2 linked regions of the Schizosaccharomyces pombe genome follow. Changing the gene in region 1 together with any one later gene gives a genetic interaction. Each region holds a gene or a part of one and is shown on either strand. Other genes may lie near its edges.

Region 1 (12,548 bases):
AATTGAAAAGGATTTAATCTTGCTGGGAGCTACCGCTATAGAAGATAGACTGCAAGATGGAGTTCCTGATACTATCTCAACTTTACAAACAGCTGGAATAAAAATCTGGGTTCTGACCGGTGATCGACAAGAGACCGCAATTAATATTGGCATGAGTTGCAAGTTGATTGATGAAGACATGGGTTTAGTTATAGTGAACGAAGAAACGAAAGAGGCTACTGCTGAAAGCGTAATGGCTAAGTTATCTTCTATATATCGAAACGAAGCTACCACTGGAAATGTTGAATCAATGGCTTTGGTTATAGATGGGGTTTCACTTACTTATGCATTAGATTTTAGCCTAGAACGCCGATTCTTTGAACTGGCTTCTTTATGCCGTGCCGTGATATGTTGTCGTGTCTCACCTTTACAGAAGGCTTTGATCGTTAAGATGGTTAAAAGAAATACAGGTGAAGTGCTATTAGCTATTGGAGATGGCGCTAATGATGTGCCGATGATTCAAGCTGCCCATGTTGGGGTTGGAATCAGCGGTATGGAAGGGTTACAAGCAGTTCGAAGCTCTGATTTTTCAATTTCCCAATTTTGCTATTTAAAAAAATTGTTACTTGTTCACGGATCTTGGTGTTATCAGCGTCTCAGCAAACTTATTTTGTACTCGTTTTACAAAAACATTGCTCTCTACATGACTCAGTTTTGGTACGCTTTTTGCAATGCATTTTCCGGCCAGGTAATTTTTGAGTCTTGGTCTATTTCACTGTATAATGTGCTTTTTACTGTTCTTCCACCGGTGGTAATAGGTATATTTGATCAGTTTGTAAGCGCTGGTCAACTTTTTCAGTATCCGCAACTTTATCAATTAGGTCAAAGAAGTGAATTTTTTAACTTAAAAAGGTTTTGGTCTTGGATAACAAATGGGTTTTATCATTCACTTCTTCTATTTCTTTGTTCCATTGCTGTGTTTTACTATGATGGTCCTAATAAGGATGGTCTCGCGTCAGGTCATTGGGTGTGGGGTACTACACTTTACGCTGCAATACTAGCTACTGTTTTAGGTAAGGCTGCCTTAATTAGTAATCATTGGACTCAATACACTGTAATTGCTACCCTCGGATCTTTCTTGCTATGGATAGTGTTTATGCCCATTTATGCTGTTGCAGCACCCGCTATCGGATTTTCAAAGGAGTACTACGGAATAATTCCACATCTTTACGGGAATCTAAAATTTTGGGCTTCCCTACTTGTTTTGCCAACAATAGCACTGATGCGTGACTTTGTGTGGAAATATTCATCCAGAATGTATTATCCTGAGGAGTATCATTACGTTCAAGAAATTCAGAAATATAATGTCACAGACTATAGACCTCGTATTGTCGGGTTTCATAAAGCTATCAGGAAAATAAGACAGATGCAGAGAATGCGTAAACAGAGAGGGTATGCTTTTTCTCAAGGTGAAGAGGACCAGTCAAGGATTTTAGATGCATATGATACTACACATACTCGTGGAGCATACGGTGAAATGCGTTAGATACGTATTTTTCTCTATTATTTTATATTACATTCGCTTTTGGTTTCTAGATCTCAGATTTCGATGAGTTTTACGATGTTAAGTTGTTTTAGTTTATCACTCGTTTAGAATTATTATGTTATTCATCCTATTAATCGATTAACAAGACGTTTTTTCTGTATTACTGTAAGAATTTCTTAAAGCATAAAGACGCATTGGTACCACCAAATCCAAAGCTGTTTGACAAAGCAACATTAATGCGGCTCTCTTTAGCCACATTCGGCACATAATCGCACTGAAACTGCTGAGGAATATCAGAGTATTCGAAATTTAACGTAGGGGGTAAGACGCCCTATACAGTTTTGTTAGCAATAGAAAGTTTGAGTAGAATAAAATACCTTTTGGACAGTCAAGACCGTATAGACAGATTCGATTGCACCTGCTGCTCCTAAAAGATGGCCAATAGAGCCTTTGCTACTAGATACAGGAAATGCCTCAGGATTCCGGTTCACATCACAAAGTAACCTAGTAATCGCTATGCTTTCTGCTACATCTCCAAGCTTGGTTGAAGTTGCATGAGCATTGATATAATCCAATTGACTTGCAGAAAGACCAGCTTGTTTTAAGGAACGCTTCATAGCATAGTAAGCAGCATCCCCATTTGGATTTGGAGCTGTAATATGATATGAATCAGATGCCAAACCATAACCGACTATTTCAGCATATATATGAGCATTTCGATTTTTGGCATGCTCCAATTCCTCAAGGACTAAGGCAGCGGAGCCTTCTCCAATTACAAATCCATCACGATTTGCATCAAACGGTCTTGAGGCCGCTTTTGGATTATCGTTGAACTTGGTTGACAAGCTTCTTGCTTTTGAAAAACCAGCAACGGTTAGCGGATTAATACAGGATTCAGAACCACCGGCAATAATAACATCTGCATGTCCAAGCTTTATAAAATTGAAGGCATCTCCTATAGCATGACAACCTGCTGCACATGCTGTAGTTGTTGTGTGATTTAAGGCAGTAAAACCATATCTTTGTGAAATATACCCTGCTGGCATATTAATTAGTATTTTAGAAATGACCCTCGGTGAAACTTTTCTTATTCCAGCCTTATTTAATACACCGTTTTCATTTAAAGCATCGTCAAGATTTCCTATGCCAGTTCCAAAGCAAACTCCCTTTTTTGTTAGTATACAGTTTTCTGGATTCACATACCGTTGCTAGCTTTTCTTGTTCATCTATGTCAATCCACCTTGCATCTTTTAATGCTTCAGCTGCAGAAGTGAGAGCTAACTGGGTAAAAGTAGCTACTTCACGTAATTTCCCTTGGTCAACGTAGTCTAATACATTCCACTCTTCCTTTTCTTTTCCCCTTGGTATCACTCCAGCAACTTTGCTTGGTATTTGCTCATACTCAGGAAATCCTTTAAGAGATACGATACCTGATTTTCCTTGAATTAGATTTCGCCAATTGGTTTTAACTCCATTGCCTAGAGGGGTTACGGCCCCCAGTCCAGTTATTACCACACGTTTCATTTTTCTAGCATTACTTTGTGGAAATAATAATAGATTATCTGTCGTTTCTTTCGACAGGGTATTTGAGGCGAGAATTTAACAGTATATAAATCGATCAAAACTGTGTTTATGTTATCGATTTCAAAGTTCTGATTGAAAGTGGATTAAATGTTCAGTTTTTATGCATGGTCAAGGTGTGTTGGCTATTAAAGTTAAGAGACTGATTGAAGCGAGGTGCACCCTGTTCGTTTAATTACAGTTTATGCGATAGTTAAAGATTACTAGAAGGTGGCCTTGTAACAATTACTTCCTGTACATAATTAAACATCCTCAAGGAATACCGCTGTTATAGAAATGAATTAGCACCATAGGAAAAATAATAATAAATGTAAAGCTCAAATTTAATAAACAAAGAAGAAATTAAATATATGAATATATTATTAAAATTATTTCTATGAATAAAATTACCTAATTAGTCTAAAATCACTGTACACTTCAACCATATATATTCAGGCCGTTATGAATAAATCTTTAGTACATGGTAAACTCGTAAAAATTGATTTTTACTTATTTTTGACTCCCCTCATTTGAACTGGAGCCTTGTTTTCATTACGTATCGGCAAACCATTAACAGAAGCCAGTTGTTTATAGAATTGCACGACTTTGGGGTGTGCCATCACCTTCGCAGGCGAAAAATTAAGAACCTGGAGACCTTCTTGAGTAGTTGCACGAGATAAGGCAACATACGCTTGCCCTTTCTCAAAAACACGACCCAAATCAACCTTGACTCGATCCAAAGTCTGTCCTTGTGCCTTGTGAATAGATATCGCATAAGCCAAAATAAGAGGAATTTGGCTTCTAGAAGCTTGAACCTCACCATTGGGAAGCTCAATATTCCAAGTTTCCCGTTGTACAACAATTGTACGTTCACCTCCATTTGGAAGTTTAAAACGAACTAATGGCCATTTTATTGCCGTGGATGAAGCTTTACGCATTGCAATCAATTTATATTTCTTTTGCTTAACGTCTGGAAGATCAAAGGGTGAAATGTCTAAACTATCATATTCAAAAGCATTTCTTCCCTGCATTTCAGCATCCTTTTTTTCCATTTGATAGGTCTCATCATCTATGAAACCTATAACTTTTCCAAGAGATCCATTTACTAACTGATCATCTATATTCTTTATAAGCATTACCTGAGCATTTACCTTTAACACTAAAGTGGCAGGAGCCATGCACCCTTGCAGTAATCGGTCACGAAATTCTTTATCTCGAACAGTACCCGAGTCAATAGCGGTAAACGTGACAGGATTTTGATTAATTTGTTGCATACGCATATCGTTCGAACGCTCAACCTCATAACGTGTGGGAAATAACTCTGTCGGAAGAAGCCCATCTTCATATTCAATCGTTCTATTAAGAACTTTGAATTTTCTAACCGATTCATCAGATAATTTCCCGAGGCGCAATTCATTAAGCATTTTGACAAATTCCTCATCCTTTTGCCGAAAAACGTGAGTCAATCCTATTGTAAAATCAAGTGCGCTTTTCCATGTCTGAGATTCGAAACAGAATTTCGATTCTTTCCCATTTTCTGGAACAGGAGGTAACTGAAAAAAATCCCCAGTTAAAACCAACTGAATTCCACCAAATGGCTTACTATCTTTGCGAATAACACGCGCAACCTCTTCTAACTTGTCCATTAATTCAGCATCGACCATAGAAACTATAGTTATTAGTAAATATAAACTCACTTAAATTGTTTACCTTCATCAATGATCAAAACTCTGGTGCGCAACCAACGATTAACACACTTCTTATTTTTCTTTATTTTAGATACCAGGAGGTCGACAGATTCACGAGCAAGGCCTACCCCAGCAAAGGAGTGAAGTGTTACACCGCCGATATTACAGGCTGCCAAGCCTGTAGAAGCGGTAACAGCAACTCTGTCAGATTGCTTTCTATATTTAGATTTTAGGACTTCAATTATTTTTCGGAGGAGAACAGATTTACCTGTTCCAGCAGAGCCCGTAAAAAATATACTGTGTTGTTGCTCAACAACCATGTCTAAAATTCTTTTTTGCTCATCGGAAAGGAATATGCTAGGGACAGATTTTTTACGAGAATCACTTGTCTTAAACAAAGAAGATCCTATTGGCGATTTGGAAGCAGAGTTTAAAGGAACAGAAAATTTTTTAGATATCTGTGGGGTAGACTTAGATTTACTCATGCGTTTTTTAGCCAGACTATCCAAAGAACTGCTTCGTCCATTGCTAAGCTTATTTGAAGAATCATTAGATACAGTGTGTTGACTGATATCAGCTGAAGTGCTGGTTCTTTTAGGATCAGGATCTCCATATCTGTAAGGATCCACTGCCCAAGGAAGGGTTCGTGAGCGTTTTATTCCCTGCCTCGTAATATTACTAGATATTACGCTACTTGCGCCTTTTTCAGAAGTATGGTCTTCGTAAATTTTTGAGAGATGATTTTTTGACCGCTTTTCGCTCGAGAGCATTGATTTAGTTAACTTAGTATGCTCGATAGGGGATGAAGACCAAGGAATTGGTTTTTGGTCAATATCGTTTTCTAAAAGTAGATCATCATCAAAGTCATTTTCATCAATATAGACGCCATTCGCTATTTCAGTGGAGTATTTACTACCCAAGCCAGAATTTTCAAAAACGGGCAGTGAGGGTTTCGAAACATCGAATCCCACGGTGTTATCAAGTTGTTTTAAGCTAGCAGCAGAACGACCTCTTTTGGCTGGTAGGGTTATTGGAGATGACGGAAGGTTATCAGACTGGCTAGAAAATGTTTGCTGATCATCATTAGTAGAGGAGCGAGAGGAATTGAAGTTTAAAGAAGCGGACGAAAAACCGCCCAATTTGTTCAAGGAGGGTTGATGCGATGACTCGTTTTGTGTATGAAGCAAGCTGCTTTTCTGCTGAGCTCTTTGAAACATGACGGGGATACGTTTCCTAAAAGAGTGACTAAATTTATAAAGAGATTGGCACGAAAACATTCATCGAATTACTTCAAGAAACTGGAAGGCGATCTGTACGCAGGTTGTCTAAAAAAAGAAACCGTAAACGAAATAGATCACCCAAAATTGTTTGATCGAAGAAAAGCAACAAGAAAACAATTTCAGTTTGAATTTAAACAACAATCTGCTACTGACTTATGCGACCTCGACCTAACACCTATGATAAGCGGTCCAAGCACATAAGAGTTGGAAGTATCCCTTTGTTGATTGTATTAATTGGGATACCGGTTGAAGAAATTTGTCAATGTCGAGGAAACGGCTGTTGACAAGGAGGTACAGAAATGAAAGCGCTATACTAATAAAAATCAAATTTACGGTGGTAGTGGACGAGACAAATGAAAGCGCGTATGTCAAGACGCGTCACGTCTGTCACCACCAGGCACGTGTTTTTTACTTCACAACTTTTGCACAAATTTTTTATCATTCAATACTGTAATTATCATAAAGTCCTTTTTACATTAGTCGTTCCTTAAGTATAACTTGCATAATTTGCTTTCGGGGCCTATGCAATGCAATGCAAATAAATTGACTTTTGTTATAATATGTTACAATCGAAGCAAATATTAACCCGTGTTTACAGTAAGTTATTAATTTTATAATATTTGATAAAACGCGTCTACGATACCATATCCTCGGAAGTCTGTAAATAATAAATGCTATCAATTAATAAATTATATACTGTATGTAGACTAAAACAATCAATACTAAGTCGAAAATTCAATAATGAGCGACAAACGATTTAAATTCGTTGACCAACCAACTTTGGTAAAGATACACAAAAACATGCATCTTTAGGTAAGTATCGTGTTCTTCAGCAGTCCGTGTCAAACATCCCGTTTTAAAGAGACTTTAGAAGTGGAAAATAACATAAAAATACAAGGTTACGGTTATCACAAATACCTAGAGTCATAGGAGGGATAACTTCAACAGTAAGGATTGCCAATCGATTTGTACTACCGACAAATTTAAAAGGAAGAACAATTAGATTAATAAAATTTCAAAAAAAATGAAAATAGCAAACAAAGAAACTAGAAAGAATGAGAAAAAATTAATAGTAAACATTTATAACTCAATATAAAAAAAACAGTATATTGGATTCAGCAGAAGTACTAAGGATAAGAAAGATTCAAAAAATGCAAATATCACAGAGCACATGTACTTTTGTAATTTCTAGTTAACCTTCTTTGCATTCTTAGCCTTTTGCTTTTTCTCGTAAGGAGTTTCAGACTTGGGAGGCATGTAAGTTCCCAAAACGTGGTCCCAGAAGGTAAAGAAGGGCTGGCTAAAGTTCTTTTGGAAACCGTAAGGTTGGTGATGAAGGTCATGGTAACGAGCATTATTGGCAAAGAACATTTGAAGAGGGTCATAAGGGAATACGTATCCACAGTGATCATCAACAGTCTTCAAGGTAGAAAGGGTGAAGAAAATAACAGCTTGTTGAGGAGAAAGACCGGCGGCGAGATAAGCAACACCAGCGCCAAAAGTGTCCAAAATCAAACCTTCAAAGGGATGGTTGTAAAGGGCACCCATAGCATAGGGAACTTGGAGACGATGGTGATGGGCATGAATCATGTTGTAGAGCTTCTTGTTGTAGTGGAGGTAACGGTGCCAGAAGTATTGCCAGCTGTCAATGATGAAGAAAGCAAAGAAGTATTGGAATGCGGGAACAATAAAGTTATAAGCCAATTTAGGGGCAAAGGGAGCAACTTGTAACAAAGCAGGCAAATTCTTGCTGAAGAAAGCCTCGTAGCGTAACATTTGCTTAGCCTCGTCAATGGGTTCAGGATAGCCCTCGAACATGGCCAATGCGATTCCAACGACGACTTCGCAAAGTTGTTGGAAAAGCACGGCTTTAACAACAGCCATCTGAGGAACACGGTTGCGTCTGGCTATCTCCTCCGGAGGATGAATGCGATACTTCTCAAAGACAGGTAATTCAATGTAATGCAAAAATCCGAAGAAAGCAGAAGCAACCCAGTAAATGATGACAGGAGAAACCAAGGAAACGGTCACTGGGTTCCAGGTAGTTAACATTTCAACGGTGGTAACCATAGTGGCAAGAAAAATTCAAATTCGAAAATATAGCAAAAAGTTAAGTGAAAGTGTAAGAAAAGAGAGAAGCTGATTAGTTATATATATGCGAATATATATCTATGTGTCTAGACTGAAGAAAGAAAACAGTTGGTACAATATATACAAATCACAAACGGCAAGAAATGTGATTTATACAAACAATTGAAAAACGATGAAACCAATAAGGAACCTTTTAAAACAACAAGTAATAAAAAGGATATTTAAACGAAACAAACCTCTTTATTTGTTCGATTTTCAATAATTTGTCTTTGGGAAAAACAAACTATCAAACACAACGATTGTGGCGGAGGTTCGGTGAGCTAGTTTGCGATGGTGACAATTTATATAATGCAAAGCAAAGTTTAAGGTACAAGCTTTGCGCGGCTGTCTTTGTCGATTTACCGATTTAAGCAGCGAGATGTAGTTAATTTTTAAGAAACGGAACTTTCGCCAACGAAAAAATCCGAAATTGATCAGTATGGACCAACAAAATTAAATTGATAAATTATATCGATCTGTCTCAAGGGAGAAGGGAAGGCGAGAACAAAAGTAATAACCGTCGGTGTTTTTAGACACAAATGGAATTACAGATAAATTAGAAACTTGCAAGTTTTCAAGTTTGAACACTAAAAGATGTCAAAAAATTGAGACGTATTGTATTCGGCAATAACAAGACCTTGTTATTTTAACAACCAAAAACTAAGTGCCTACAATAATTTGCAATTGAAACTATTACAAGAAGGGATTAAAGATTAAGCTAGATTGCTTGACCCTAAAGTTGTGAAAGACTTTTTGAAAAGTAGAGGAATTGGATGTTTTTGAACTGCGGAATGCAGGTTAAAACTGCGATATATATATTTTGCTGGTGTTCTTGAAAACACGAGATTTTTTTACAAATCGTATCATCTCATTGTAGGCAAAATCTGATGTTTTTTTTTTGCTGGTAACATGTGATGTAGCGGATCTAAACTACACTACACTATATTAGAGCGGGAAGCAAATATATCTCGCTATAATTGTTAGGGACTAAAAAATGTGGCTACAAGTCGTAGCATTCAACGGAAGCTTTTTGTTACTTTTTACTCCCTTTGATACTGGGATTTTTTTAAACTATCGGAAGGGTTAAAGTTGTACATTCCGCTGAACACAGATAGTAAAAAAAATCGTTTGACAAAAAAAAAAAAATTTGTTTTCCGTTTTTTGTTTGGAATCCGTCTAGGTCGTTAGTAATTTAACAATTTCAGCGAAAGACAGCAATTGAATGGGTTTTAATTTTCGGTACAAAGAGAATTGACTTTTTATGAAGCGACTACGAAGGACACTTGATATTGCTATTTTCAACAAAAAATAACATAATGTCGATAATTAAACTACCACGGCTTGTAAATAGAAAATAGCACTGAAGCGACCTGTGAAATTGTCAGCGTGCTATTGCTAAACAATGATTCCGTGTAATTTTATATGATTGTGCTTTCATAACAGATGTGCATGCGTAGAAAGAAAAGCTATAAACAATCAACATAGAATACCATTCACACTAGGAGTAGCATACCTTAAACTCATAGGATCCAATGAATTAACTTGCAAATCCATTTAATAGTTAGATTGACTGATTTGTACCAAATTGGTAAAATGCCGGTCCCCATCCCCTCTAAAAAAAGGACTCTTTTATTTACCGGGATGCCATTGACATCTCTTCTGTTTTGCATGTTTTGGAATTGAAAATGCAATAATAAAAAGGAATCAATAATTTTGGATTCCTGTCTAATAATTGACGGTTTTGTTATCTTGGTTGAAAAATCCATCCCAGCTGCCTAAAAGCTGCTACAACCTTTGTTTAATTAGTGCGACACAGTTAAAAATACTATATGTTTCGTAATACAGTGGATGATTTCCATTAAACTTTTGACTAGATCAGCAGCGATTTTTAAAGTACATTATACCTTAGCCGGCTAAAAACATATGGATTTGGAAAAACTACTAATGAATGTATTAAGAGTGAACATTACAGTCGGGTGCTTTGCAGTACAAATATCCTGGTAGCTGCATTAAGAAAAAGATATAGTAAAGCTGTTAGTACAAAAAAAAAAGTAGTAAATAATAATATAATAAAATAACGCTTGATAGTCTTTTAAGAATTTCATTTTTCGAATACCGCCTTGTGAATTATGCGTAGTTTACTTGTATCTATATCGTTTCAAATTTTCATACTTCAAGGATTTCCCTAAATGAATTCTTGAATCCCCCACTGAAGTCTTTTTATCCCACTTTAATTTCATACCACAGTTAAAATCATTTGCTAACCTTCTATAGCATATAAACTTATGTACCCCCAGTAAGGTCTTTTTCCCCACTTTAACTTTTAGTATTAGCTGCACCTACCAGCATATGTCCCCCACATGTGTTTTTCTTTTTACTATGAAGGTTCAATAATGGGGGTATTCAAGTCAAAATAATCTTGTATCTGTACCGTCAGAGAAAACTCACCAAACGAACGAGCACAAGTATTAAATCTATAATCACTTACCTTAATGATTTCGTTTACTTTAATTATCTTATAATTGCATGAATTTTGATAAGCGATTGCAAAAACGAACAAATGTGATATAAATATGTTTGTATAGGTGATATCTTAAACATGGCTCGGACCAATTTACAATATCCTTACAAAGTCCTGTGGTGTGCTCAAGTTAAAGTCGTTAAAACGGGTTTAATTAATTTTTTTGCTCCTAGCATTCAGCGTCAACGTGAGAGAGTATGTGAGGGTTATCTACATGAAACCCCCCTGTTACTAATGCAAGTAGTAGAAAGAGAAGCAATAACTTTAGCAAAGACAGAATTCAAAAATAGTTTTAGTAATCTTCATTTTTTCTTTCTTTTTTGGCTGCTTAATTTCATTTTATTTTTCAGAATACATTTGTATTCTTGCAATTTTCGCATGTCGATTATTTGTGAAGAATACTACTAATGTTATCATTGTTACTTTTAAGAATTTTTTATATCTTTGGAGTAGGTTATTGGCAGTGGAATTTTGAGTTTATCTCATTTTTTGAAGTAGCGAAATTGACGCAGTATCTGATAGCACAGCTATTGGCTGTTAAATATAAGCGCCCAAATTTGACTAGTATTTAACAGTCCTTGGGTCCATCAGCGACACTTTGCATTTTTTACAAACTTTTTTCTAAACACCAATTTCTATTTCTTTGCAGTAATAAAGAGGTCCTGGACTGAAAACTCACTGTTGTACTTAATTAGGTGTAGGTTTGCATCCAGTTGATAAGGATTATAAAGTTTTTTCAATCTTCACGTTGAGATCGAGATTCATCGCTTAGCAGAAAATTTTTAGATTAGTGGTAGGTCGAAAAGGTTCTGGATTTTAGAAAACGGCTTTGATCAAACAACTTTAAAGATTAGATTGCTTTTATCTCGATCTTTGTTTACAATTTCATCAAAAGTTTTTTAAATTGCTTTTACTGTTTTTGAGGTTTGGAAGCAAAATCGGTTTCTTTCCTTGTGGGTTTTGGGATTTCTCTAATATTTGTATCTTTAATAAGTAATCTATTTTTGTGAAAAGGGCTTTTTGCTTAGCATTAACACGGATCTTTCCGTTGATTTGTTGTGTTTTATTTATCCTCGGCAGGTTATTTGGATACCTAGTGTAATATATATACATATATTATAAGTATTCTCGTTTTTATTGTTTTAATATTTCAATCCTCTTTTCTTTTTTTCCTTAGTTTATCGAGAAGATGAGCATCACACAAAAAGTAAGGAATTGGGTCGAAGAGTTCGACGTGATCGTCGCTCGTTCGGCATTCGGACGTTGGTTTCGTCTAGAGGGATGTGGTCATCCTCGGGAGCGTAAAGGCAGTCGCTTTTCTCTCGAAATTAGTGCTGGTCTTACTACCTTTTTTGCAATGGCTTACATTTTGGCTGTCAATGCTACCATTCTCGTAGATACGGGCGGCACTTGCGAATGTACTGAAGCTAATCGTGATGATTGTGACAAACTTGATGACTATGTACTTTGCAAAGAAGACTTTCATCGTGATCTCGTCACAGCCACCGCTGCCATTTCTGCTCTCGCTTCTTTCTGCATGGGTCTTTTTGCCAATATGCCCGTGGGTATGGCCCCTGGTATGGGTTTAAATGCTTATTTTGCGTACCAAGTTGTCGGATATAATGGCACTGGACGTGTTTCCTATCGAGAAGCTCTTTTAGCTGTTTTTGTTGAAGGATTCATCTTTACTGGTTTAACTGTTATAGGTCTACGCCAATGGCTGGCGCGAGTTATTCCTGCCTCTTTGAAATTTGCTACTGGTGCTGGTATTGGTTTGTATCTCACAATTATCGGACTCAGTCCAAGTGCTGGGTTAGGAGTCATTGGGCATTCCTCATCTGATA
Region 2 (11,030 bases), on another chromosome or scaffold:
TGTACTGCTGCGTCCACCTTGGAATTTGGGAGCCACCTTGGGACTCATCGCTGGCAACACTTTACTAGGGGTGGAAGGGGCTGTAACGCTATTGCCACCCTGGAGCTTCGGGTTCATTTTAGGAACTGTACTTGGTGGCACTTTTCTAGGAGTAGAAGGTCGTGTGTCAGATATACTTTCGCTATGCGGTTCCGGATTTACTTTAGGACTAGTGGTAGTTGGCAACGGCTTTCTCGGAGTAGATGATTGTGTCTGAGAGTTTTCTACCAAGGATGCTTTACTGGAATTATCTTGACTTGAGGGATGATCTGAGCCGGATTCTGGAATTTTGTTATCAGTGCTCAACAAGCTTGGGGGGCTATTTTGCACCACCTTCTGTTTATAGAATTGGCTAGGAACGATAGTGTCATACGAAGAGACAGATTGTCTTTGGCGCTGCATTGTCCCAACGATTCCTTCAATGTCTCCTTCAGAAGAATGGAACTGAAAATGCCTTTCATCAGTGAGAGGGGCATTGGAGGCATGTTCAGTTTTCATCGCATCCTCAGTCACGGCTTTTTCATCTGAAATAAAACGACTAGAGTCGACGTCAGTTTCTTTAGCGGCTTCATTTACCGAAGCATCGCCTAAAGAGGTATCTCTTCCGTCACGTTCCAAATCACCAACAACAACTTCAACGTCTCCGCGAAGTGAATGAAACTTGTAATGCTCTGTGTTTGTAAGCGAAATTTTGGTATTTTCATCACAAACAGCTTTTTCAGATTTTGCAGGGACATTAGCAGATACAGGATGCTCAGTAGGTTGTTTTTCATCAGAAACCGTCTCACTGCTATATGCTACTGCATCCGGTGATTTTAGCGGATTATTCGCAATATTTGGATTAACTTTCTCAACTCTTTTTTCAGATTCCGTAGTAGAATTAATCTGATCGACATTAAGTTTGCTATCAGATTTAGCAGCAGCTTCATCGACATTTATTTTATCATTCATATCTACATTAAGTCTGGGTGTATCTGAATCATCGGGTGTAATTTTTGGTTCAGCGGCAGAATTACCTTCGGAAACATCTACCGTTGGAGCTGAACTACTCATGGCTGCATCATTAGCTTCAGCTTTATCAGATTGGACCCTGCGTTGAGCGACCTTTCTTTCACCTTCAGCATTACGAGTTTTTTGGTTAGCTGCTTGAATATGCTGCAAGTTGACTGTATTTCTCATCTTTGAGGCAGGAGATGAAGAAGACCCTGTTTTGGTATGTACAGTAGGATTACCAACAGGTACAGATTTTCTGACCTCGTTCGAAGTGGAAGATGTGCTAACATTAGGGCGAGCAGGACGCACATTAGAGGCGGGTCCTTTGGCAGCAGTATTTTCTCTTTCATGAATACTGCTGGTATTGCTTTTATGCGATTTTCCTTTTGACTTGCCAAAACCAAGTTTATGGAGAAACTTACTAAAGCCGTTGTGGCCATGATGGTGATGTTCCGAATCTTTCATCGTGGTTTTGTATCGATAAAATTAACGAATGTTGGTTTTGAATAAACTATTAACAGTTTAGATTGCAAAGGGTATTCTTTTCACCGTAAAAGAAGAAATATCAAAGGAAATTAGAAATAATGGAATTAAATGAAAAAAGGTATTTTCCCAAGACTTAAATTACTATAGGGTTCGAAATACTTAACTCTTTTCTTTTTTCTCTATTTTTAGTAAGAGATCTCGATGGTTTACCATGAATTCCAGGATATCTTTTATCTCTGTTTCGACCAATTTAACATGCAAGCAAGTTAGATTATATTCAAAGAAACGTGTCTGATCTCTAAAGATAAGGCGCAGACAGAAATGCAAAGAACAAATGTCAGATATATTTAGAGTATTTCAATCGGAGCAATTCCGAAACAATCCAACTTCTGCATATGCACGTTTTCTAACGTTATTTCTCTAACAATCTCAATAACTGCTAAACAACAGTTTTAGCAAAAAAGTTTGTAAAGGAAAAAGTAATATAATAATTCTCAAAACAACCAATTTTCTTTAGGAATAAGCGATATTCAGCGTAGTACCACTAGATATACTTGCGTTGCTCGCTTTGTATATATATGGTAGTTGGATTGTTACAATGGCAGGGTGACTGAAGGATGAGCAAACGTAAGAAACACCGGTATGTACCGTCTTCGGAGCCGAATCGTCCGCGATGAGCATCTCAAGGATACACTAAATAAGATAGTGCGAAAAAAGGAGAACGTTATATAAAAATACTCAAACAAGAATCAAAAAAAGTGAAATAAACGATAGTAAAATTCATATTTGTATTAGCCAAAAGGAAGAATCATTATAAAAGAAAAGCTTGAGTTTAGAAATGCAATAAAATATGCAAAAACCAAAAGAAGGAAGCAAGATTCTGCGCGTTTATTCTTCCATGTTTATTTGTACTGTGCATGAGAAATGAAAGAGAAATCTGTGTTGTATGATCCATAAAATGTTTCTTATTCAAAAAAAAGTGAGTTATACTTATGACTGAATAGAACGAGTTTCTGGTATACCTCCATATCTAAAGGAACAGGAAATTAGTTAATCGGTCAATAGAATGTAGGACTTAGCAGAAGCAGAAGTTCAAAGGACTTCCTTATTATTTTTATAAACACAACTTACCAATATCAGTGCCAAAATCAACACAGGTTAAAAGCTGCACCGAAGAATCTGGTTTGACAGAAACGACAAATTCATAGAAATGATTGGGTTCAAGAGTGTTATCCTAAAATTAGTTAGATAAAATAAAAAAACTCTGAAAACCGATTGTAAAATAGATAAAACGTACCACAGTGAGGTGCATATCGAAAGAACCGTTGGAATCGACTTTTGCAGTTTCACCTTCAACTTGATTCGCCTTGCCAACAATCCGAACCGTTTTTCCAGAGCATTCTGGTAGCATATCTTTCGTAACTCGAGGTGTAGGGCGTTCCATATTATTTTATACGCGTTGTTTATAAAGTGGTGGAAGTGAAGTATGTATCAGACCAGGTAGTTAACTACTTGTTGACACGAATTATTTAAAATATTGGAACGCAGTACGTTATGTATTATATGTTGGAAGGCGCTGGGATGTAAATAAAAAAGCAAAAGCGTAAATATAAACGCTGGGGGCTAACGTTGATACATTACTGTTCTATTTTTTATAAGAATTATTCATAAAAAAATCTCCTTGTATCCTTCTGCGTTAATTTCACTACTTATTAATTGGTTGAAATGTTGTAAATAAACGGGTTAAAGACCAATATAAATACGTCTTACATATAGTGATTTAAATAACATTATGGAAAGATTTCATGGTATTTTATACTATTTTTGAAATCGTCGGCGACTCTTAATTTTCTCTCTTTTCCAATACCACTATTAGTAAATTGCTTAGGCGTAGACCAGAAGCTTCAATAATTAAAAGTAAATGTAATTGATGGAAAGCAGCCTTCTTTTAATGATATAATTTTTCAATTAGTTTTACCTTGAGGTTGTGATTTCATGTATTTCACTTTGAAGTCGCCCATCCCCTCGACCATTCAATTCAAAAAAAAAAAAATCAAAAAACTCCATACTCATATTGAAATCTTTCTTCTGTTACATTAGTTATTAAACCACTCTTCATTTACATTTGCAGAGCTTGTTACCTTAATACTTGCTAGTACCTAAAAGTGCTCTGGTTCAGCTCTCTAGTCGAATTTACCATCAACACTATTTTTGGTGTTACTAATTATAGGGTTTTTGCCCATGAACTATAGGCAATTGTTTCTTCTTCAAAATGTTAATTTAGAGTCTAATTATTTATTAAAACGTGTATGCCTGTCTTTAAAATTGTCTCCTTGTAAACTTACAAGGAAATTTCATCATGCTTGCCCTTCCAGTTCAAAAGTTTTGAAATATTTCCGCATAACTGGATGCCTAATAAATTTCGGGAAACAACCAGCAAACGATCATCATCTTTGGGGACATTGTGGTGCGCGTTTGAAGCATACTCAATCAGATCTTATTGATCGATTTAAAAATGCTAATTTGAAATCCGTGAATGAGGAAAACCTTAAAAAATTTTTCTCTGAATTAGAAAATCATGGAAACATTAGACAGTGGTTGAAAGACAAGTTCGAGAAGGACAAACGCGCTGCTGTTTGTCCTACTACTACAAAATCTGAGGAAGAGAAGTTGGAAAATGATTTTGAGTATTCTTTTGATTTAGAAGATTTCAGCAGTGAGAATTTTAGACAGTACGATCGTGGAGATTTGCTAGTGTTTTATAGGGGCTCCGAAGGCATTGAACTTGCTGCATGCACTGGTACTAATGTTTGGAACTATAGTAATGTATTGACCAGCATTAACGAAAACGGTACTATTAAGGAATTTCGTACATCTAGAGTTTTACTGAGATGTCCTAATGTCTTTAAAAAGCTGAAAGAGGTGCAGCAACCTCTTTCTGATGTTTCTGTTCCTTCTGATGTCCTACCTTTCACTATAAAGTTATTAAAAAAAATCTCTCAAAGAGCACAAGATTTAAGTCGAAGTCACCGAAATGAATTTTTGCGAATATTGACAGAATTCAATATTCCAAATAAACTTGACAATTCAGCTTCTTTTTCAGACCTTTTGAAATTTGTGTACAAAACTTCGAAGCCTAGCCCATATGCTAAAATCTCATTGTTACACTTTTTGCTTACAGAAAGCAAACATTTTTTAATAAGCGATCACATATTTTCCGAAATTCAAAAAGTCTATTTCCTTCCCTCTTCACAAAATGATTCTTTTGACGACGTTGTTGCATGCCTGCGTCAGAAATCAACACCATATCTTTCGTTTATAAAGAAAGCTCGTCATTTAATTCAAGTTTCCCGAGATAAATATAAGTTACCTATAAGCACCGAAGAAATAAAACCCGTAGTTTATTCACAGGTCACTTGGACTGAATTTGAAAAAAAACTATTGCGGTATCTTGTTCAGGAAATGATTGCAAAAAGTATTCAAAGTTTACCAAATACACACTTGTGTCAGGTTTACAAAGAAGTTGGCCTTCAAACTCACGAGAGGGGATTAACTAGTGATCAGTTTGCTAAATTCTTAACGGATATTGGCGTGTGGGCTTCATGGCAGCCCCCGAGGTTGTTTCAACAGGAATACAGCATTGCTGGCCTTGGTACTAATCCTCAGTTAGATGCTGTGTATGAACGTGAGTGTAATCACTTTAAAAAGTTTGTAAAAAATGAATTAAAAGATTCACTTGAATCGCAACGCGTCGATTTAAGGCATCTTAAAGCGTTCGCCTTTGATAGTTCTTCTACGAAAGAGATAGATGATGCGATTTCGGTTGAAGAATTAGGGATGTCTAATTCCTGGCTTCATATCCATGTTGCTAATCCTACGAGTACAGTTGACATTCGCAGTCCTTTAGGCACGTTTGCTGAAAGGAACTTTCAAACTATTTATCATCCCAACAAAATTGTGTATATGCTACCTCTCAATATCACTCAGAAATATTGGAGTTTAGATTCATCTTCTACAGCTCAAAGAGCATTAACTTTTAGTGCTAAAATTTCAAAAAATGGCGATATACTTGATTACAAGGTTCGGCCTAGCTTCATTTCCTCAGTTATCAAATACACACCCCAACAACTGGATAAAGCTTTGCATAGTAATCGATCAATTGCGAAAGACATCGTTTCTGGACCAGTGGATGAGGAAACAAAAGGAGTATCAAATGATCACATGAAAGATATATTAAGAATATATGAACTTTCGAAACAAGCCTGTTTTTCTAGGTTACAAAAGTTTGCGTTTGTTATTGCACAACCCACTCCGACAGTTGAATTGCTGCCTAATAATGTCCCTTATAATCTTGGTGATCTGAATCATCCAGTATACTGGTCTTCCTTCCCTACAATTAGTTTGAACGTTAGTGAAGGGTATAGCTTGGCAGAATCAGTAATATCAGAGTGCATGATATTGGCTGGCCGGGTTTCATCATTATTTTTTCAAGAACATAAATTACCTGGGATTTTTAGGGGCCAGCCTTATCCAATTATGGATGGTGTACGAAGAAAAGCGTTTGAAACTTTGTTAAGTAACAGGTCATCTTGGGGACTCGTTGAAACTAAGTATTCACTTTCTGTAATGCCTTTATTTGAAAGTTCACATTTAGCCTCCACACCTGTTTCCCACTTTTCTTTGGGGCTAAAGGATGGCTATATTCAGTCTACCTCTCCTTTACGCCGGTTTACCGACTTCTTCACTCATCATCAGATTCAGTCGGTATTATTAAAGACTCCAAAAAATACTATACCTGATGGTATTCTTCGTGGAAAACTAAATTTGTACAACCAAAAAGAAAAATCAATTAAAACTATAGGAAGATACATTAATCGTTTCTGGGCCTTAAAATATATAGAGAGACTTCCAAAGGTACAAAAAAATATTTATCATGGATATTTAATGGTTTCAGAACTTTCAACACCTCAGGTCATGTTGGAAGAATTGGGTGTTAAAGCGCATATTGATATTCTCCCGGACGAAGCATTCCGGTTAGCAAATACTCGCCAGGCATTTACAATTAAGGATGTCTTTCCGGAGTCTAATATCCTATTAGTTGCTTTAGCGACCTAACAAACTTATTAAAACTATTTTTATGGATATAATTTTACTTAATTAAATACTCAATCCTGCATTTTATCAATTTACCGAGACTTAACGATATAAATAAATTATGTTTTGGGATTTGATAGTAACCTGTTTCGCCAAAACTCATCTCAAAAACCAACAGGTAGTTTTACTATGAAGTCTCTTTGTTAACCTTGACTCTTGTGATTAAAATATATTTTCTTTTTCTATTTTTTGTAAGACAAGAAGCAAATGTCTTTGGATGCTTATAAATCCATCGACGAAGTGTGCTGCGTTGTTTAAAATCTAAGTTAAGAAAAATGATTGAATCTAAAGGTGAAACAGCACCCTCTTTAAATTTAAACGACGTTAATGTTGAAGAAAATGATGCTGCGCAAAGTTTTGCAGAGAAGGTTCAGCGGTTTCGATACCAGATGAAAGTCCATGCAGCACCGCGACAGAAAACGCTGCATTCTTTCCTGAAAAAGGATAATGCTAATATTCATGACTTTACTAAAGTTGAGAAACCACACATTCGTTCTTCTAAATCGAAGGTTTCTTATAACAGTATTACATCAAGAGTTACCAAATATTTTGAAGAAAAAAATAATTCCGTTGATCAATTGCATTCAGAAAGCTTGACCCCATTAAGCTTTGGCCATACCATTCCCAAGAAAAAGCCGTTACTTATGACGGCTTCTGTTTCAGAAGATTCTAGAGTTCGTGTTAGTAAGAGACAATTTAAGTCCAAAGTTGTTCATCCAGAAATTGCTATTTCTATTGCTAAAAGGCATAAGCCAAAGTTTCCTCTGTCTGATGAACTCATGAATGTCGAACCTGGGTTCCACCACAGCAATATCGGTTGTCAAATTACGCCTTACTTATGGATATCATCATTTAGAACTAATGTCTATTACCTAATTGGAAATGAGGGTGACTTATTGTCCCAACAAGTACCTTCGATAAGTGGGGAGTTAAACATGTTGAGAGGAGTATGCACCCGTATCGATGATGATAATCGCTATGATATTGAACAAGCTGGTTCTTGTTTTGGTATGTCGGTATTTCCAACCTCTGATTCTGGAGAAGAGTCTTTTACCACCCTTGAGTCCGATCCGATAGTTAATTGCGAACACGATGAAAAGAAAGTTGCTGATAATCTCCTGGTTCCTCAAGTAATGTGTTCTTCTAATATTTCAACGTTCTTTCGAAGCCCTGGTGGAAAAAAGTTGTATCATTATTTATGGAAAAATTCAAATGCCCTACGTATTTCCTCAAACGACCTTCTCGAAATACTTTTAAAGCACGGTGTTTATGTATCTTTGGACACTCTGCACTCGTGGCTTCAGGAAAGAAACGTAAATTTTGAAAAGTGAAATATTTATGTTAGACTAAGTATAGCAAACTTTTGGCGAGCTGGTCCCGTAATGATGATTTAATGTACGTTATATATCTAACAAGTCAAGAATATTATTTCAATAATTTTAAATGTATATATTTATGTGATAAGTTAGAACTAAAAATAACGAGTAGATAGCTTGTCTTAATTTTGAAGGACCAAAGCAGAAGGGACTTTATGACTCGAGTTTTAAACGTCTTTGAGAACGTTACTGAGTTCTTCTTGTCTTATTTGTTTTTTTTTATATCTCAATAGCGCTGTATGGTTTATAATATATGCATATAAAGCGCTAATGTTAGGACCTTTTCTTGAGCAGATTTGTCTTTGGAAAATAACGAAATAGTATATTATTATGTTATTTATTTAACGAGCCGGAAATTTTTCATAAAATTTCACTAACGTGCTGCGTAGTTAATCTTTATTATCTAATACTAGGACAAGGAACGCGAGAGCATGTGTTTGTCATTAACTACACACACGAGAAATAGCAATTTATGTGTTTCGCGTCTCTGGCCTACTTATATCTTACAAAGCATTCATTTTTTGAAACCTTCTTTTCTTTCTAAATAACTGCATTTGTAATTGCTCAAATTACCAACCCTGAGCAGTTAAAGTCTTTTTCAAATTTCGTTTCATAGAGAATCAAAAGAATTCAAGGTTGGATCTATTTATATTAAAATTTATTAGAATGTTTGTGTTTGGATAATAATGAAGCCTCGCCCGTACTCTGTTTTCCTCTTTCTTCATATCGTTTTTTACAGCCTTCTTTCAGCAGTGAATGGATCCCCAAGTTTGGATTATTTTGAGACTTGTTCAAACTTTGTACCGAGAGCAGGTATTCCTACCTTTAGCCCATATGCAGTTATCAAGAATTTTGATGAAGTGAATCGGATGTACTACATTCAAGTAGTGGGGAATTTATCCGGAGTTATAACGATTGTGGGTGGAAATGGCTCACATATTCACGCTGCTTCAGTTTATTCGGAAACTTATGCGTTAGGAAAACTGGTCACATCCAATACCACAAAGCTTTGTGATGTTGTTATGGATCCTCATTCTTTTGAAGTCCCCATAAAATGTCCTTGGGCAGCTGGAAGTGCCGCTTTCATGGTTAAAGTTCCCTTTAAATCCACCTTGTCCGATTACTCAAAATACGAATTGACTACATTAACAACGCGAGTAATCGTTGTTGACGGTACTCCCGAGAAAAATGTAATAACTTGTATGAAGTTTGGTTTGTCCACAACTTTGTATTATTTTTATCCAGTTATTTCATATTTGGTTGTTGTGTCGCTCGCATATGTCTCGTTTTCCATTATTTATGCTCTTTTTTTAAATCCATGGACCGGCAGTTTAGATCCATTTAAGTCGATTTTTAATTTTAATATGGACCCTGATGCTCTTCGTTTAACATCCCTTGGATTTTTTGATTTTGTGCAATACTTGCAATTTGCTGTTTCTACAGCTCAGGTTAGTGTTATGTTTCCAAAATTTTACATAAATATTATGGCTGCTCTTTCTTGGGGCACTGCTCTATTTCGATTTCCCATTTTCTCCGAGCCTGCTGAATATCAATTTGCAGACTTTGCCGACTTGTCTGTAGCATCCTCTAGTTATGCGGATTATTTGCCTAAGTCATATGGCATGTATTCGTTTCTCGATTCTATAGGAATAGGTACTGCATGCTGGCTTCCGTTTCTTATAGTCATGGTTATTTACTTATTTGCTGCGTTATTTGTAGCATTGTTGGTTATTTTTTTGAAATGGCTTATGTCTAGAATTTTCAATGAAACTATTGCCGAAACTCGGTGGGATACTTGGAGCTTCATTGCTGGTTCTCTGATACGTCTTTACTTCTTGACATATTTCCCTACCGTCGCTTATATGTCATTCCAGTTTGTCGCACCGCCCACAGGTTATGAAATTATCCCCGTTTTGTGGTTTATCTTTTTTGGAATCTTTATTCCGGTGTATTTATATATGAATCTCGCTTTTGTTGAACCATCGTCCAAACTTCTTGAAGATCAAACATATTTGCATTTATTTGGCTCTATATACAATTCGTTTCGAGAAGAGAGAGTTATGTTTTGGATCTTTCCAATTGCCGTACAATTTATGCGTGGTATTACGGTTGGTGTCATAGGAAGTTCCGGCTCTGCACAATTAGCCATATTCTTTATACTTGAAGTTGCTAATGTCGTGGCGTATGCTTATGTGCGACCACATTTCCCGCAGACGAGTATGAATACGTTAAACACCTTCATCTCTACCATGCGCTTGATCACGGTTATTCTAATGATTCCCTTAGATCCTCGATTAAAGGTTCTTGGCATTAGTAGAGATTTACTGGCCTATGCAATTTTGTTTATTCACATAATGGTTTGTATCCTTTTCTTACTTCTGTCAACTCAACGATTTATGGAAGTCAGTGCACGGTTATTAGGTGCTAAAAGTGAGAGTAAAGGTGTCCCACTCGATCGACCATTTGGTTGGGCCAGGGTATTTGGTATTAATGAATTGAGACGCCGGCGTCTTAAGGATCCATATTCCAATGGCAACACAATGATGTTTGATCATTCTACCTACAACTCAAATGAAATGTCAGTGCCACTTACGCCAGTCTCCGTTTGTTCTAATTCCCTTAAGAAGGATGGCGAGGCTGCTCCGCCAAAATTATTCGTTCAGACTAACTGTATTCCTCCAGTTACGCAAGCGTCGAGTCTTGTCCCTTCTAAGAACAATACAGCATCTTCAAGTAGTCTAATGTTGGATTCTCCTGTTACTCCCAGTTCTCCATACAGCACATCACAAGGATATTCATTTTACCGTCCACCTAAACCAAAGTCATCTGTTCGTAAACGGGACATGGATCAACTACGTGCTTTACAATTAGACTTTTTAAACAACAAGCCTAATTTACTACGCCATGATGTTAATTACGCGGTTCGTGAGGCCGATGTCTATCATCCACACGTAGACACAAGTATTGACAGTCTATCGCAAA

What was found.
Region 2: of pfh1 (region 1) and pxd1, a mutation in one rescues a mutant of the other (synthetic rescue), as found in Schizosaccharomyces pombe (one study listed by BioGRID).

What each region holds. Positions count from the first base shown.
Region 1 is NC_003423.3:3,564,139-3,576,686, forward strand, and holds pfh1 (DNA repair and recombination protein), read right to left. Parts: upstream 6,339-12,548; 5' UTR 6,051-6,338; coding exon 4,796-6,050; exon of another isoform or gene 4,755-4,795; coding exon 3,592-4,754; 3' UTR 3,455-3,591; downstream 1-3,454. Other genes in the region: SPOM_SPBC887.12 (P-type ATPase), read left to right, coding at 1-1,525; cem1 (3-oxoacyl-[acyl-carrier-protein]-synthase condensing enzyme), read right to left, coding at 1,686-1,856, 1,903-2,691, 2,729-3,049; sphingosine hydroxylase/sphingolipid delta-4 desaturase Sur2, read right to left, coding at 7,242-8,123; SPOM_SPBC887.16 (uncharacterized protein), read left to right, coding at 10,783-11,112; SPOM_SPBC887.17 (transmembrane transporter), read left to right, coding at 11,894-12,548.
Region 2 is NC_003421.2:1,279,403-1,290,432, forward strand, and holds pxd1 (protein Pdx1), read left to right. Parts: upstream 1-6,763; 5' UTR 6,764-6,947; coding exon 6,948-8,003; 3' UTR 8,004-8,129; downstream 8,130-11,030. Other genes in the region: pdr16 (sec14 family protein), read right to left, coding at 1-1,497; DNA replication factor A subunit Ssb3, read right to left, coding at 2,484-2,548, 2,650-2,752, 2,816-2,962; rpm1 (3' ssRNA-specific 3'-to-5' exonuclease), read left to right, coding at 3,760-6,633; trp1322 (TRP-like ion channel protein), read left to right, coding at 8,735-11,030.